Ovis aries: one gene and its partners. The protein of the gene in region 2 purifies or fractionates together with the protein of the main gene of each other region. This does not show direct contact. Links are inferred from orthologs where the notes say so. Each region holds a gene or a part of one and is shown on either strand. Other genes may lie near its edges.

What was found. Proteins that work in one complex are often made in the same cells at the same time.
Region 1: the proteins of TUBGCP3 (region 2) and LGALS3BP purify together in Homo sapiens (affinity purification with mass spectrometry; 4 studies listed by BioGRID and IntAct, counting the BioPlex papers as one, with this or other methods). This does not show direct contact. The link is inferred for Ovis aries from reciprocal best matches to the Homo sapiens genes TUBGCP3 and LGALS3BP.
Region 3: the proteins of TUBGCP3 (region 2) and NEDD1 purify together in Homo sapiens (affinity purification with mass spectrometry; 3 studies listed by BioGRID and IntAct, with this or other methods). This does not show direct contact. The link is inferred for Ovis aries from reciprocal best matches to the Homo sapiens genes TUBGCP3 and NEDD1.

What each region holds. Positions count from the first base shown.
Region 1 is NC_056064.1:52,762,024-52,767,152, reverse strand, and holds the end of LGALS3BP (galectin-3-binding protein), read right to left. Parts: intron 5,002-5,129; coding exon 4,749-5,001; intron 2,704-4,748; coding exon 1,671-2,703; 3' UTR 1,093-1,670; downstream 1-1,092.
Region 2 is NC_056063.1:85,558,524-85,563,652, forward strand, and holds part of TUBGCP3 (gamma-tubulin complex component 3), read right to left. Parts: intron 4,979-5,129; coding exon 4,761-4,978; intron 3,588-4,760; coding exon 3,415-3,587; intron 2,707-3,414; coding exon 2,588-2,706; intron 1,990-2,587; coding exon 1,864-1,989; intron 914-1,863; coding exon 845-913; intron 500-844; coding exon 367-499; intron 1-366. UniProt on the Homo sapiens protein: Component of the gamma-tubulin ring complex (gTuRC) which mediates microtubule nucleation.
Region 3 is NC_056056.1:166,700,847-166,705,595, reverse strand, and holds the end of NEDD1 (protein NEDD1), read right to left. Parts: intron 3,199-4,749; coding exon 3,132-3,198; intron 2,687-3,131; coding exon 2,582-2,686; 3' UTR 1,622-2,581; downstream 1-1,621. UniProt on the Homo sapiens protein: Required for mitosis progression. Promotes the nucleation of microtubules from the spindle.

The DNA of each region.
Region 1 (5,129 bases), on a different chromosome or scaffold from region 2:
AGGCCATGGTCAACAGTGTGGTTTAAACAAAGTGGTAGATTTTTATGATGTCAAAGGACCACCATAGAGGTGCCCAAGATGGTGGGCCTGGACCCTGGGAGGGAGCTGGGGCTAGGGGCGCCTTCTGGGAAAGGGTGAAGCTGCATGGGGGCAGGGGCAGGCTTCGTGTGTCCCTGCTCTTGTTTTCGCAGGGCTAGAGGGGAAGAGGCGTGTGTAGTGGGGACAGCTGCCGTCCTGGCTGCCCAGCTTCTGGATCTCCCTCCCGTTGGGTGAGTCCAGTGCTGCCTCCCTTCTCAAGGCCAGAACAGTCCAGGTGCTTGTTCTCTCAGACCCTGGCCAGGGGGAAGGGCACGTGGCCTGGGCCTGGCCAACCAGATGCTTCCACTGGGGCCTGGTGCCTGGAGCGTGTGTATCACAAAGAAGCGGGGACAGTTTAGAATTCTTGCCCCGCTTGCAGCAGGGGCAGCCTCCAGCGCCCAGAACCTGGTGGTGGCATTCTAACACAATGTCCCTGTGGGACCCCAGGTCCGGTTCCCTTGCCTTGCCCTAGATTCCGTGGGTCCTCCGGTCTCCTTTCCGTATACCCTTCTGCCTGACCCTCCACATTGTGGGTGTCCTTTATTTGTGCTCAAGCACCCCATTGGTGGCCTTCTACGTTCTTTGCAAATTTCCACTTCTACAAACAATGCTGGGACGAGAATCTCTGCCCCCTTCCCTGTACACAAGTGGGAAGATTGATGGGGCCAAGATTCCGATCACCTACTGATCCTTCTCCCTGGAACACACACACCCTCCTGCCATTTCCCCCACGCCTGCTGCCTCGCACGCTTCATTTCTCCACTGAGATCCACTAAAGTAGCTCCAGCCCGTGCCTCCCACCTTCCTTCCTCTGGTTTCCATCACCCATTATTCCCGCTGGTCCTCACCCCAAGTGTTTGCTTACTTGTAATGGCCTGTCTCACCTACAAGACCACAGCAGCTTCACGGGGAAGGGACCACACTGGCTCATTACTGGATCCCAGGGCCTAGCGCATCATCCTCTGTCTCAACACCCTATGGACTCATCAGCCCATTCTGCGTGAACAAGAGAACTTGGGGGAACCACAGTACAATTTTAATGATCTCAGATAAGGGACAGCAGAGGGTGGAGAAAGTGAAAGGCCAGGTAGGAAACCCAACAGCTCCTGGCTCACATCTCATTGCTTCCCAACAAATTAGCTGTGCAGTTGAAGTGGGAGTTCTCAGCTTGTGAGTGCACTAGTTGAAGGAAGGAAGGAAGTGTTAGATGCTCAGTTGTGTCCAACTCTTTGCAACAAGTTGTCTCTGACTCTGAGACTCCGTGGACTGTAGCCTGCCAGGCTCCTCTGTCCATGGGATTCTCCAGGCAAGAATACTGGAGTGGGTTGCTATTCCCTTCTCCAGGGGATCCTCCCAACACAGGGGTTGAACCCAGGTCTCCTACATTGTGGGCAGATTCTTTACCATCTGAGCCACCAGGGAAGTCTGCAGTAGCTGAAGTCTTCCAGTAATTTCCGTAAGCTCAGAGAGATCAAGGGAAGCAGGGGGGCCACCTGGTGGCCGGTGGTTGGAGGTGGCTGCAGAGAGGATGTGGAGGGGAGGAAGGTGCCCAGCCTCTGGGCTCCTGCCCACCCCGACCTCCAGCCTCGAGTCTAGTCCATGCCCGTGGAGTTGGTCAGGTAGAAGGGACGGATGACGACTTGGAACCTGCTGAAGAGCCCTGCCGGGCAGGGGAAGAGGGAAGTGCTCCTGGAGCTGTTGGTACCCAGGGCACTGGGGATCAGGGCCTTCCAGCCCTTGAAGTCGATGACGTCTGCCACAAAGCTCCCCTCACAGTGCAGCAGGGCCCGGTTTTCATAGCCAATGGTGGGACTGGAGTAGCTGGACTTGGAGAGAGCCAGGAGTGGGGGGTCATCGGAGGAGCACGAGAACCCGTAGTTCCAGCAGCTCTGGAGGGTGGGGAGGTAGACTAAAGACCAGGAGACGGAACTGGCCTGGAAGAGGAAGCTGGGGTGCTGGGGCGTCTGGAAGGACCGGTAGGGGTTGTAACTGGAGCTCATCACAGACTCGCTCCAGGTGGGCGAGGTATAAAGCCGGGGCTGGTAGGCGTCCTCGGTGAGGTTCAGGCCCCAGTACTGAGCCAGCAGCTCGAAGGGCACGGTGTGGAACTCCAGGGCCTGTAGTATCTTCTTCTGGAGGAGCGCCTCGTGACTCCAGTACAGGGACAGGTTAAACTGCAGCGAGAAGAGGTCCCGGGGTGGCATCATGGGGAACCGCACCTTCTCCACCAAGCCCTCCACTTCCTTGTGGGAGGTGCTCCTCTCCCGGCTCCACTCGTCCACAGCCCGCAGCAGGACCAGCTCGCTGGGCACCACTAGTTCGGTCCTGGAGAGCAGGTCTTGGAGCAGGCCCGGGGGGACGCTCAGCCAGGCCTCGGCCTGCGTCAGGGCCCCGAAGTTCCAGGCCAGGAACTGCACGCAGATCTCCTCCAGCACGGGGTCCCGGGTGGCCAGGGCGTAGGCGTAGAGCTCCAGGGGTGTCCGGAAAGAGGGGTCCTGGGGGATGAGGATGGCAAAGAGGTGCCCGCAGTAGCTCTGCAGCTGCTCGGCCTGGTAGGCAGAGGCGAGCTTGTGCAAACACTTCACTGACGACAGAGACACATCGATCCTCCGGGAGTAGAGGTACCTGAGGGGAGACGAGGGCTGACGCCTGGCTACACCCCTTCTCCCGAAGGACGACAGGTGTGCCCCGGTGCAGGTGTCTGGCTGACTGCTGATCCCCGGGGTGCCAGCTATTTCAGGGGGCATTTGGAGCCCCCTGACTTATCTCCTGAGTCAACCCCCATTCCAAGCTATGTGGGCCGAGAGCCAAGTGCATAGGCAGCTGGGCGGACCCCAGACACCCTGAGGATGTTGCTTCGTCCTCACTGATGGGGACGGTCCCGCCACCTCCTCCATCATCACCGTCATCTTCATGGGCTGGGCCCCGACACCAGGACCCGCTGGCCATCCGGGGCTCTGCCCTTCCCTCTCCCCTGTCACACCCCTGGGCAGAACTCTTGATTTCCCCACTGGGTGCCCATGGGTGCCCCTCTGCCCCAGCACCTGTCTGGTGCCCCCATGACATGGGCATCATCATGGGTCACCTCCTGTCTGCCATCCCTGCCAGCTGTGAGCCCTGTGGGTGGCACCCAGTCTATGCCACCCACCGTGTAACTCAGTGTGCCACCAGGAGGCACTTTGCTCATGAAGACACGTGTGGAGGGAGCCTGCTGGGAGGGGAAACGCCAGGCAATGGCCCCTGCCGTCTCCTGGGAGATGGTGAATGGGGCCCTGCTTTGGAAAGAACCAAACTCTGTCCACCACTTCTCTCGAATGACGAGCCTTCCAGGGAGCCTCAGACTTGCTGGCTTCCCCATCACTTGAACACGGAGCCTCGGGTGCCCAGAAAGGAGCCGGGACCCCACAGAGTCCAGTGGCAGCAGCAAGGGTGGGCCGGTCCTCGTCCCACCTGCCGCTCTGCCCTGATGTGCTCAGTACATCCTGTGATTCTGTTGCTGAATGTGAACTCGAGAACCAAAATGGTCATCTGCACCACGTGGGGGCTGCCGGGCAGAGGGAAGGGGAGTGGGGGGTGGTGTAGGCAGTGAACCAGGGTCTCCAGAGACCCTCTAGGGCCTGGGTGGGGCTCATTGCTGCCTCTCTGCCTTAGAGGAGGGAGAGAGACAGAGAGAGAGGGAGGGAGCGAGAGACACAAAGATACAGGGCAACAGGAAGATAGAGATGGAGTGAGAGGCAGAAGGAGACAGGAAGGCAGAGAGAGACAGAGAGAGCAAGCTGGAGCACATGGCTAGACAGTCCAGAGAACCGCTGACTCTGACCGAGGGCGGTGACTGCCGAGAGGCTGGGACCAGGCACAGACGCATCACAGACCTCAGCCCTGCTGGGAGGGGCGCAGGACAGCGGCCAAGCTCTCATCCTCGGCTGAAAAGACGCCATTTAATCTTTTTAAACTGCCATTTGCTGTTTCCTCTTAAATGTCACTTTCGGCTAGCTACAACTTTGGGTCATGAGAGGGAACAGCTTTTCATACACTTGGTTCTCTCTTTAAGTTGATGCTCCCAGAACGCCAGTCCCTGGAAAGCCCGCCCGATGTGGTGACATAGAGACCCCCCAGCAGGATGGTCTGCAGGGGAAGGGGCCTCGGGGGCCACTCTCAACTGGGAGATGGGCTCCCAGCGTGGATGGCCCGCTGGTTAGACTGCCGCCTGGACGGTGCCACCTGGGAATTTTCTCCCCACTTTCTTCCGGCAGCAGACTTGGATTCCTGTTTCTTTAAAAAAAACTTTTGCAGGAGCAGATCAGTGAGGTGAAAAGAGGAAGAATGACTTTGATAGTTTTTTTGGGTGCTTATGACACCCGAGAGACAGGTGTGGTGTGCGTGTGTGTGTGTGTGTGTACGTGTGAGGGCTGACCCATTTCTCACAGTCCCTGTGGAAAGAATACATAAGAATGTGTGTGCAAAGGTGAGGACGTGTGGCTGTGAAAGTGAGTGTGCACACGTGTGGGTGTGTGAGCATGTGTGCGCACAAGTGAGAGAGCACGTATGTGGTTGCCCTCGCGTGTGTTCAGGTGAGCACAGCTGCGGTTGGTGTCGCGTCCCTCGTCCCTGGGGTTTTCCTTTGGCAGGGACGCTGCCCGGTCCCTGGGCCCGGCCCCGAGGCCACTCACCTGATGAAGTCCTTAACGGTGGGCACACACTCAGCATCCACCTCCATGGTGACCCTACTGCCCGGCTCCTTCCACAGGCCATGGGCCTCGGGGTTGGTGGACAGGATCAGCTTGTGGGCGCAGATGGCCAGCTCGTCCTCCTCACGCACCTTCACCCTGATGAACAGGTCACAGCCCTTCTGGCTCTCAAAGATCTGCTCTAGAGCCGCGGGGAGCTCGCCGGATAGGTCGAGGGTGTAGACACCTCTGGTTTCTATGGAGGGGGATGCATGTTAGGAGGGGCCCCGGCACTCGCTTCCTCTGTGACCCGAAAACACAGAGTTTTGCTCCCCGGAGTCAGATTCTTCCCTTAAACTGTGGATCCTGCCTTATCAGCTCAGA
Region 2 (5,129 bases):
CAAGCCCCAGGCTGGAGGTGGGAGAGGCCCAGGCAGACGCACGCACGGGGGCGAGCAACACGGCTGCTGAGCCAGACCTGGGGCCAAGGGGGGGCGGGGGAGGCCGAGGAGAGGCCGCAGAGTAAGGGCAGACGCGTCTCCGGAGCACAAGAGGCCTCAGGGGACCACACCCCCACGCCTACTTCATCTCAGGGAGGTCCTGAGCGCCACGAGCGTAAACCCTGGCCCACGGGCTCTCCCCCTGGAAGTCCAAGTCTATCCACCTGTCTTTGGTAGCACCCTTCCGGCTGCCATGCATACAGGGCAGACACAGAGTCAGGCCTCAGTGACCCTCCCTACAGCTGCCTTGAAACCGCGCAGAATGACCTTGGCAGTGGTCCACCAGGGCCGCCAGGGTCTTTAGTCTTATCTTGGGGTCATACGTCCACACCAGGAGGCGCCGGAGCGTCAAGCTGCTCTCGAAGCCCAAATTCACACCCTGATCGTCCTCCAGCTGCAGCTGAAAAACGAGAACAAAAGAACGGCTGAGTACAGCCACCCAGGAGCCCTAACCCACGTCTTAACCCACGTCAAGTCCCGGGGAAGGGGTGATCCTCACGTAAACGAGACAGAGGGCCTCTGGGAGAGGACAGCTCCTTCAAGATACAGGAGGTCTGCCTCAGGCCGACAGGACCCTGAAAGCGAGCCGCAAGCTGACTCCAGGACACACCACAGCTCTACAGGGGCCCAACCCTTCCACCAGGACCATCACACCTTAAAATTAGCGTAGGAGGAAATGCAGGGATTCTGGAGAGTGGAATTCTGTGACATTTCAGATCGTGATGAAATAAAAACAAGGGCTTACCTGGGAGTGCAGGACGGAGAGCAGCCGGTAGTACTCCTTGAGTTCCTGGTGCAAGGCCGCGCAGAAGCTCTGTGGAAAGAGAGGCAGGTCGTGGTCGCTGCGCTCAGGACAGGCGCCACCCAGCTGCGAAGGACGGCCCTCAGACGCGCCTGCTTCTGTCCACAGAGCTCGTGCAGGTGAACCACCTCAACACACGGACTCAACGGTGTCAGGGGCCGTCTCAGCACGGGCTTTGCAGGAGCACAGCGGAGGCGCAGCGCCGTGCTCATAACCTGCAGGGCGTTTCCTCCCTCCACACACTGATGCTGTATTTTTAGCTATATGCCTCTTACTCTGGCTCATGGAAGTACCGTTGATGTACAATGCCACGTCAGCTTCAGGTGAACAGCAAAGTCGGGGAGACCCCCTGAAGGGGGGAATGGCACCCCACTCCAGTGCTCCTGCCTGCGAAACCCCATGGACAGAGGAGCCTGGCGGGCTGCAGTCCGTGGGGTCACGCTGAGTCGGACACGACAGAAGCAACTTAGCGCACACACACACACACACGCACACACGCACACGCACACGCATGCACACGCACACGCATACACACGCGCACACACACACACGCACACGCACACACGCACACACACACGCACACGCACACACCCGAGTCACTTTGACACACACTTCACACACGACACTGTAAACCAACTGTCCTTCAATTAAACAAAGTTTAACTGAGAGAATTTTAGGTCAAAGGGAAGTCATTAAAATACGTAAAGTGACTCAGACAGGTCAGCGTTCCTAAACACTCGTTAAACATTAGAAGTTTCCTGGTCGATCACCTGTGTCAATATTTACTGTGCTTTCTATTTTCTTGAGAGGACCGTGGCTGACAAAGTGCATCATACCAAACCTGCTTCATGTAAAAAGGACCCGCCTCAGGATGACTTTCACGTGAGGTTCTAAGGAGACGAAGCGCTTCCTGAGGCGAGCGCCGCCCGAATCCCCAGGCGTCTCGCTACCGAAGCACACACCTGGCCGACAAGCCCAAACGAGCGGTCCAGGCTCCTCTGGTCCGTGTACTTTCTGATCTTGTTGTGCAGCCACCCCAGCTCGGCCAGTCTCATAGCCGTATCCCGCAAGGACTTGTTCAGGTTTGCCTAAAAAGCAAACACGTCCACAGCTAAAAAACTGCTTTTAACGCTGGAATTTTATTACTTTTTTTCCAACCACTTGCACTTTTATGTTTGTGATTCTCAGGCTTCAACACAAGAAACTTAAAGATCACCAACACACCACCCTGACATGAGGACAGTGAGGCCTGGGACACAGGCCGCGCCCTGGCGCAGACAACGCGTCAGGCGGGAGGGCCGCCACCCCCAGGAGGGCCCGGCGTGGCAAGGGCCGTCTGTGAGGCCAGCGGCCTGAGCCTCAGCCAAGAGACGCAGAAGGACAGATCGTCAGCAAGATGGACTGTGAGAAAGGCAGGCTCCGGAGGAAGCAAAACTGGGCGAGAGCGCCTCACGTGGGACCTGTGTCGGAGCACAGATGCCAGGACAGCAGTCCGGCAGGTAAGCCTGGCACCGGCACCACAGGAGGGAGGAGGTGAGCACGGAGGACGAGCCGGTACGGGGGCCAGGACCTCGCCTGCAGACCACCCGCGTCAACGAGCAGCACCTCCCAGACCAGCGGCTCCCACCTGGCCCTGGGGACAGTCACCCTGACTCGTGAGGGCTGCAGCGGGTCAGGGCACCGTACCTTCCCCTCCACTTTGTAACAGTTGTCAGCGCTGCTCATCTTGATGTTCCTGCCGTCTATGCCCTGGAAGACGTACAGGATGTCTCTGACGAGGGCCGCCTCGGTGACCTCCACAGCACCTGCAACGCGGTTTCCGTGCGGTGAACTGCTCGACACAGCTCGCCCCAGGTGATGTGTTCGCAACCAGAACAAAACTTAAAAGCTAACTGAGTTTAAGATGGAAAAGAATATGAAGTTATATTTTTTAAAAACACGGACTTTCTGAAGAGCATCTGGAGAGCATGTGGTTTGTCTTCCAAAAGCCCTTTTTTCAAAGAGAAAGCAATCCACGGGAGTTTAACACATGATCCAGGGGCAGCACAAGCCAATCCCAGAGGGGTGGGTAACCGCTTCATGTGGTGTCAGAGACCTGACTGACCACGCAGCAGGCGTGTAAGCCGGGCTCCATCCCCACCAGGCCACAGGCATTAACACACCGGAGAGGGTTTACGAGCCCCACAAACCCTGGAACAAAGGCCAGCTCAGAGCGTGGCTGTCACCCAATATCACAAGAAGGCAAGGCCCAGAGAGGCGAGGTTCCAGTGGGAGAGGCCCCGTCCGAGCACAGCCAGGTAATATCGCCCCAGCACGGGGCGACCCTCCACAAACACCAGATAAACAGAAACAGGCCGGCCGGGAGGAGGAGGAGGGTGCACACCCAGAGCCACGCCCGGCAGTCGTGAGCGCAGGTGGGGCTGGGTGACAAGGCCAACACAGGCACCCCCACGGGGCGCACGGGACACTGTCGGCTGCAAACCCCGGAAAACCCAGAGCCCGTCCTCACTCACCGCCTGCATCCCCGTCTCTCCGTGGCCGAGTCACGCTGCGGGAAGTCGCACTGGGGACGCCTTTGGAGGTAGTGGTTTGTAAGGAAGGCTGGCTTGCAGTCAACGTCCATGCCAGACGGGCGCCCAGCTGCTGCCGGAGACAGTCGCCCGTCCCTGGGCCCGGGTGAGACTGTCTGAAAAGAGGAGGTGCCTGCTGGGTCCGCACGCCGGGCTAGTCACAGAGGTCGCTGAGACGCTGCAGACACGCTCCCTGAGTCACCACACTGAGCCACTGGCCCGGGTGAGCCCGAGACCCGCGCGGCTGTCCCTCCCCGACTGCGGCCCCCGGGCTCCTGCCTCCTGCACAGCCCTCCCGGCTCTGTCACAGGCCGACCCGGCTGTGCCTGCAAACACCCACATACACTTCCAGCTCAGAGCACTCTAGGGTTCACTGCTGATTTTACCCTGGAAACCCATCCACGTTTGCTGAGTAAAAACCGATGACACCGCCCCCTGCCCTGTCTATCTCTCAGCCTTCACAGCACTTGACGCAAACAGTGGGATCTGCAACCAGCGTCACACACAGCAACATCAACCGCAGGGAGAGGCCACCCCCGTCAGGACGGCGCTCAGTGACGCCCGCGGGCAGCCCACCAGGGAGTTCCACAAGGACCCGGAGACAGCCCTTCCCCCAGCCCGCCCCCGGCAGGGGGGACACTGATCCGACGATGGTTCTGAGTACAGTTCCAAATTTAAGAGAAAGTCTAAACGACCACTTCAGTTCACGGTTCTCTATGCCGCTTTTTCAATATCATGACAGTAATTATTTCAACTACTTATATTAAAGGCGAAAACAAGAAAGTGTGTTTCAGCCAGACTCCTTCAGCCAGAATGGGAGTCTGAGATTAGATTTGGGGGTACATGGTGCTGTCTTTATAAAGTCCTAGGCTCTGTCTGTAATCCCCGTGTCTGGACACACGTTCTGTCTTCCAGTAACTCCAACAAACTTTCACCTGACTGACCCAGTGACAGGCGCGTCGCCGGGCCCCGCCCACGAGGGAAACACCGTCTGAAGGTGGCTGCGCCAGCCCACTCCCAGTTCCCACCAACCAAGGCACCGCACACCTCCCCGCGAGCCGGCCCTGCCGCAGCAGCTGCGTTACCAGTCAGGAGGCAGCCGACCCAACGGTCAACGCAGACGGGAGCGACCCGGAGGGTGTGCTTAGACAGCTGACTCCCACCAGAGCACGTCAGACCCAGGGCCGAGACACCCCGGACACGCACGAGGCTCTGAAGACTGAATGCTGGACTGAGAGCAAGGCCGCGCCCGCCTCCACCGCGGGGGACCCGCGCGAGCGCCAGCTTACCCCGGCAGCAGGGACGGGGGCGGCGGGGTCGGGCCGTTGAGGGTGTGCACACCGATGCTGCTGATGCCGCTGCTCCCCAGGCTGCCCGAGCTCTGGGCCGACGGGGCGCTGCGCTCCTGGTAGTTCAGCGGCAGGGTCTGAGGCCGGGCGTAGTAGTAGGGCGTGGAGTGGGCATCGCGTGGTAGCGCCTGAGCGAACAGCGTGGCGTAGCTGGAGACCTGAAAATAAGCGCATTGCAAATGCAGCTACAGAATCACACGAGTCCCCAGCCGACAGACAGTTCACACTCCATCTCTTTAGCTGCGTTTCTGTGCCCAGAGTGGCACAGGCAGACCTCAGAAAGTCCAGATCAGCTCTGGGAAGCAAACG
Region 3 (4,749 bases), on a different chromosome or scaffold from region 2:
TATTTTCTATTGTCCCATTTATTCTTTGCCCTTGTTCTTTTCTTTGCTTCTTTTGGATTTTTTAATGGCTACACTGTATCACCTTTGTTGATTTGCTAACTAGACCAGTTTTGCTTGCGTTTACTTTGGGGTTCACAGCACACACGTTCAGCTTGCAGCACCCTACCTCCAGGGAGCACTCTGCTTCCCAGGTAAGAACCTCAGAGCAGCGCACTGTCATTTCCCTCCTCCCACCCTTGAAGAGAGGTGCTCTTGTCAGGCATTTCACTTTACATATGTTAACCACATAATTCATTGTTATTATTTTTGTTTTAAATAGTCCGCTACCCTTTGAAGATAATTTAAAATAAGGGGCGAAAAAGGCCTTATATTTGTTCACATATTTACCATTTTTGTTGCTCTTCACTCCTTTGCATAGAAGCAGATTTCTATCTGGTACTTTTAATGTTTCCTGTAGGGCAAAAGTTAGCTTGTGATCAATTCTTTGAACCTTTCTAGGTCTGAAGAAGTTTTAATTTTCACTTTTAAAGATATTTTCTCTAGGTAAAGAATTCCAAGTTGAGTTTATTTTTAAAAATTCAGTATTTGAAAACTATTTCGAGTATTTTGTGTCTTCTTAAAATTTAGTTGCATTGTGTAAATCTAATCTCCTATTATTCTATTTTGGCTAGAGGCTAAAATTCAATTTCTGATTTCATCTCTTATTATTCTATTTTGGCTAGAGGCTAAAATTCAACTTCTGATTTCCCATTTTTACCATTTAAAATTTAACTTTTTTTTACTTATTTAGCTTTTAAATTCCATGACAAAAAATGTTTCATCTTATGCATAAGGTTACCAAAATTATTATATTTATCTAACTTCTTTTAATATACATTATGTGCATTTATAGAAAAAGGCAACAGGCAAATACTAACGGATAACGCAAAACACATTTTTATGTCTTCTAAATCTGTTTGATAATGATATGTGACAAAACTTGTTACAAGCCATAATGCTTTCATTACCTGTCAGGAAAAAAAGATTATATTAGCATCCCTTTATGCTTTGTGTGCTAAGTCACTTCAGTGTCTCCAACTCTCTGTGACCCTATGGATTGCCGTCTACCAGACTCCTCTATCCATGGGATTCTCCAGGCAAGAATACTGCAGTGGGTTGCCATGCCCTCCTCCAGGGGATCTTCCTGCCTCATGGATTGAACCTGGGTCTCATGTCTCCTGTACTGGGAGGTGGGTTCTTTACCACTGGTGCCACCTGGGAAGCTCCCTTATGCTTTAATACAAATGTATTCCACTAAGACAAAGTAATTTATTTCTTGAAATAATTATTAGTATTTTACACTTACTAAATGTATCCTTAAAATCTTTCATCACCTGGAAGGAAAAAGTTAGTAATCCAGCTAGACTTCTTTTTTATTTTAGTAAATACTTTCATCTCAAAAGTTAAAATTGAGCAGGAGTGCTATATACAAGGTATAGTTTAAATCTCTGGGACAAGAGACTATAAGAGGTAAATAAGCCAGCTGCCCTCTTAATCTTATACCACTAAAAATGTAGATCATAGCATGTTAACATTCATATATTGTCAGAGGTGTATATTCTTTTGACAATTAACCTTCCTGTTTTAAAAAAAATTTTTTTTTATTTTATAGTGGGTCAATAATATAAAAGTATTACACACAGCACAAAAAAGAATTAAAGGAAGTTAATGATATAAACCACAAAACAAAATAAACCATACCTCATTTAGGAGGAGAAAAAATGGACTAATACTGTAATACTTAGTATAATATGAAATTTTCACTAATTATTAAGTGGAATTATATTGACTGAAACATTATAGTATAAATTTTATGCTGTTAATTAATGAAATAAGCAGATACACAGTTCTGGTTGAGTCTTATAAACCCTTAAAAGTTTTCATAGGTAAAATTAACTACAAAATATCAACCAGAGTAGAGATTAGTTAGAAGTATAAAAGAATAATGCAATAGATATAATGTGATCTGTGCAATTCAAAATCTGAAAATTTTCTTATCAAATGTACAAGTAATAAATAATAGTTATACTTGACTTCACCAAGTTAACAAAATAATTACTAACCAACTTTGTGTTTTATTAGTCAATTGCTTAGAAACACAAAACATCAATTAAACTTACTTTCTCCATAAAAATAGAAGGTATATCAAACTCTTTAATCATTAAACATCCAAAAAAATTTGGAAGGCAACTGTCAACCAAAAATATTATGTTTAGAAAGGATGATTAAAAAACATACATAACCTATTTTTTTGCACAATTTTTTCATGAAAAAGGGCACTTAGTGTATAGCTAAAGCTTTCATAAAATAAAGATTCTGTTGGCTTTCCTTTTAGGCGGACGACATAGTGTACAGTTTTTAATATAAAAATATAAATATATTTGACAGAAAAGATGAAATAGTGAATGGTATAAAATCCCATCACCCTTTGACTGAAAAACACTTTTTCTCCCAGAGGTTATGGAAACAATACTGATTTCATGTAGTTCTGTGTTGTCAGAACCTTCCCAAATTACAAAACATCAAAGTATTCACTGAAATTTCAAAAGTGTGCCCGCAGTCTTTTGTTTTCTTCTCGTAGTCTTTCAATTTCTGCCACTAAACCTTCATTCACTGAGTATCTTTCCAACAAAGAGTGCATTTCATTCTAGAAAAGGGGGAAAAAATTTTTTTTAATTACTGGCATTTCACATTTATTTGACATTGTTTTACACATTTTCAGCTATCATTTTTCTCATGTTCAGTTAACTGAGTAATTTTTTTTTCAATTTAACCACCCTTACTACTTTGCTAATATAAATGAAAGAGCACTGGTAAAATTTACGTATTTGGAAAGTTTACATTTCCACATTTGGAAAGGTTTTTGTTTACTTACAGCCAAAAAAAAAAAAAAAGCTGTGAAAAAAGTAGCCTTAACTATCATAGGTTATAAAGAAGGGTGACTAGTTAAAATCTATTTTATTTACTAAATTTCTAAAACGCTCTTTTATTTCTTAGCAATTAGATATAACCAAGTAAGAATACGTCACCCTTTCATGGACTTTTTAGATCCACAGCTATGCTCACTTACAATAAAACATGTCAATACATACCAATTGCATATGAAACTGTTTAATCATCTCCACTTGCAAATTCACAATGTCCCTATGGCATGCTTCTCTAGGGGAAAACATATAATATTTATTAGAATTAGAACAGTTTTACCAATTCTAGAATCACTCAAGAAAATGACTATACTCTTATTATTTCATGTTACTATTAACAATTATTATAATAGTAAAAATACCACTGCACCTAGTATTTATTTACTATGTGCTAGGCTCTGTGTCTTCTACTTCAGATGTAAGAACTCATTTAATCTTAGAATTACTACCTCTATTTTACACATGTAACTGAATCACAGAGAAGTTGTAACTCAACCAAAGTCACACAACTAGTATATGTTAGAGCTAGGATATAAACCCAGCTGTCTACCTCCGGAACTCCCATTACACTACATTCCTTAATATAGAAATCATCATTAAGGAAAAGATATAGGTTTATATTACAATGAAACACAGACAATGCTCTAGGTTACAATGTTTAACTATTATCAACGTTTAAGCTATTGAAAAAAAACAAACAAACTTCCAGCAGAATGCAAAGAGCCTATTTATAACAGAGGTTTACTCAGTAAAATGCAGTTAAGTCATGCCTGCAAAACCATAAGAGTAGGAATTCCCAGGTGGCCCGGTGGTTAGGGCTCTGGGCTTTCACTTCTATGGCTAGGGTTCAACCCCTGGTTTAGGAACTAAGATCCCACAAGCCATGTTGCATGGCCAAAAAGAAAGAGAAGACATAAAAATTATGAAATGTAACAATAAAAGGAGTATCTGTGTGTCACCTGCCACAGAAATTATGGGCTAGAACATAATGAAAATCACAGAAGCTTCCTGTGGTGCTCCTCACTTAACTCTTGAGAGAAGCCCAAGAAAGAAGTCACTACTCTCTGGAATTTGTTTGAGCAAAGAAATGTTTTCTAAAAAATATATATGTATTTATATATTTTTGCATAACATAGAATCTGTAGTCAATGTATTTTTGTTATGCTTGCTTTTGAGCATTACAAAAAGGGTACCATATCCTATGTAGCCTTGAGTAGTATACAGTTAAAAATAATCCAGTATCATGTTTTCAAGGTCATATTCTATTTATCTATAATTCATTGATCTGTACTAGTGTACATTCTTCTGTCAAATTGAACTGTTTTTTTAAGTGTTTATTATTAAAATGTTGTAACAATAATGTATATGTCTTCCAACCCACATGTGCCAATTTATGTGGATAATATATCCAAGATGTGTTGAGTCACAGGTATGATCGAAAGGTACACTGTTCAAACTTACAAAATAATAGAAATTATTTTCCGAAGTTGTAGTATTAATGGACATGCTCATCATCAGAATAAGAAGAGTTCCTCTAGCTCTACATCCACACCAAGACTTGGTGTTGCCAGACTTTTTACAAATGTGTTTCCATCTACTGGGTGTGAAATGGTAACCAATTCCATTTTCAGTTCTCTGGTTAATTTGCAGGGCTGAGCAACTTTCCCTATGTTCATATACTATTCTTCAGTGAAATGCTTGTCTATGTTTTTAAACTATTGTTCTATTGAATATCTTAAAAGAAATTATTCATAACAGTTCTTTACATAATCTAATCCTCTATTGG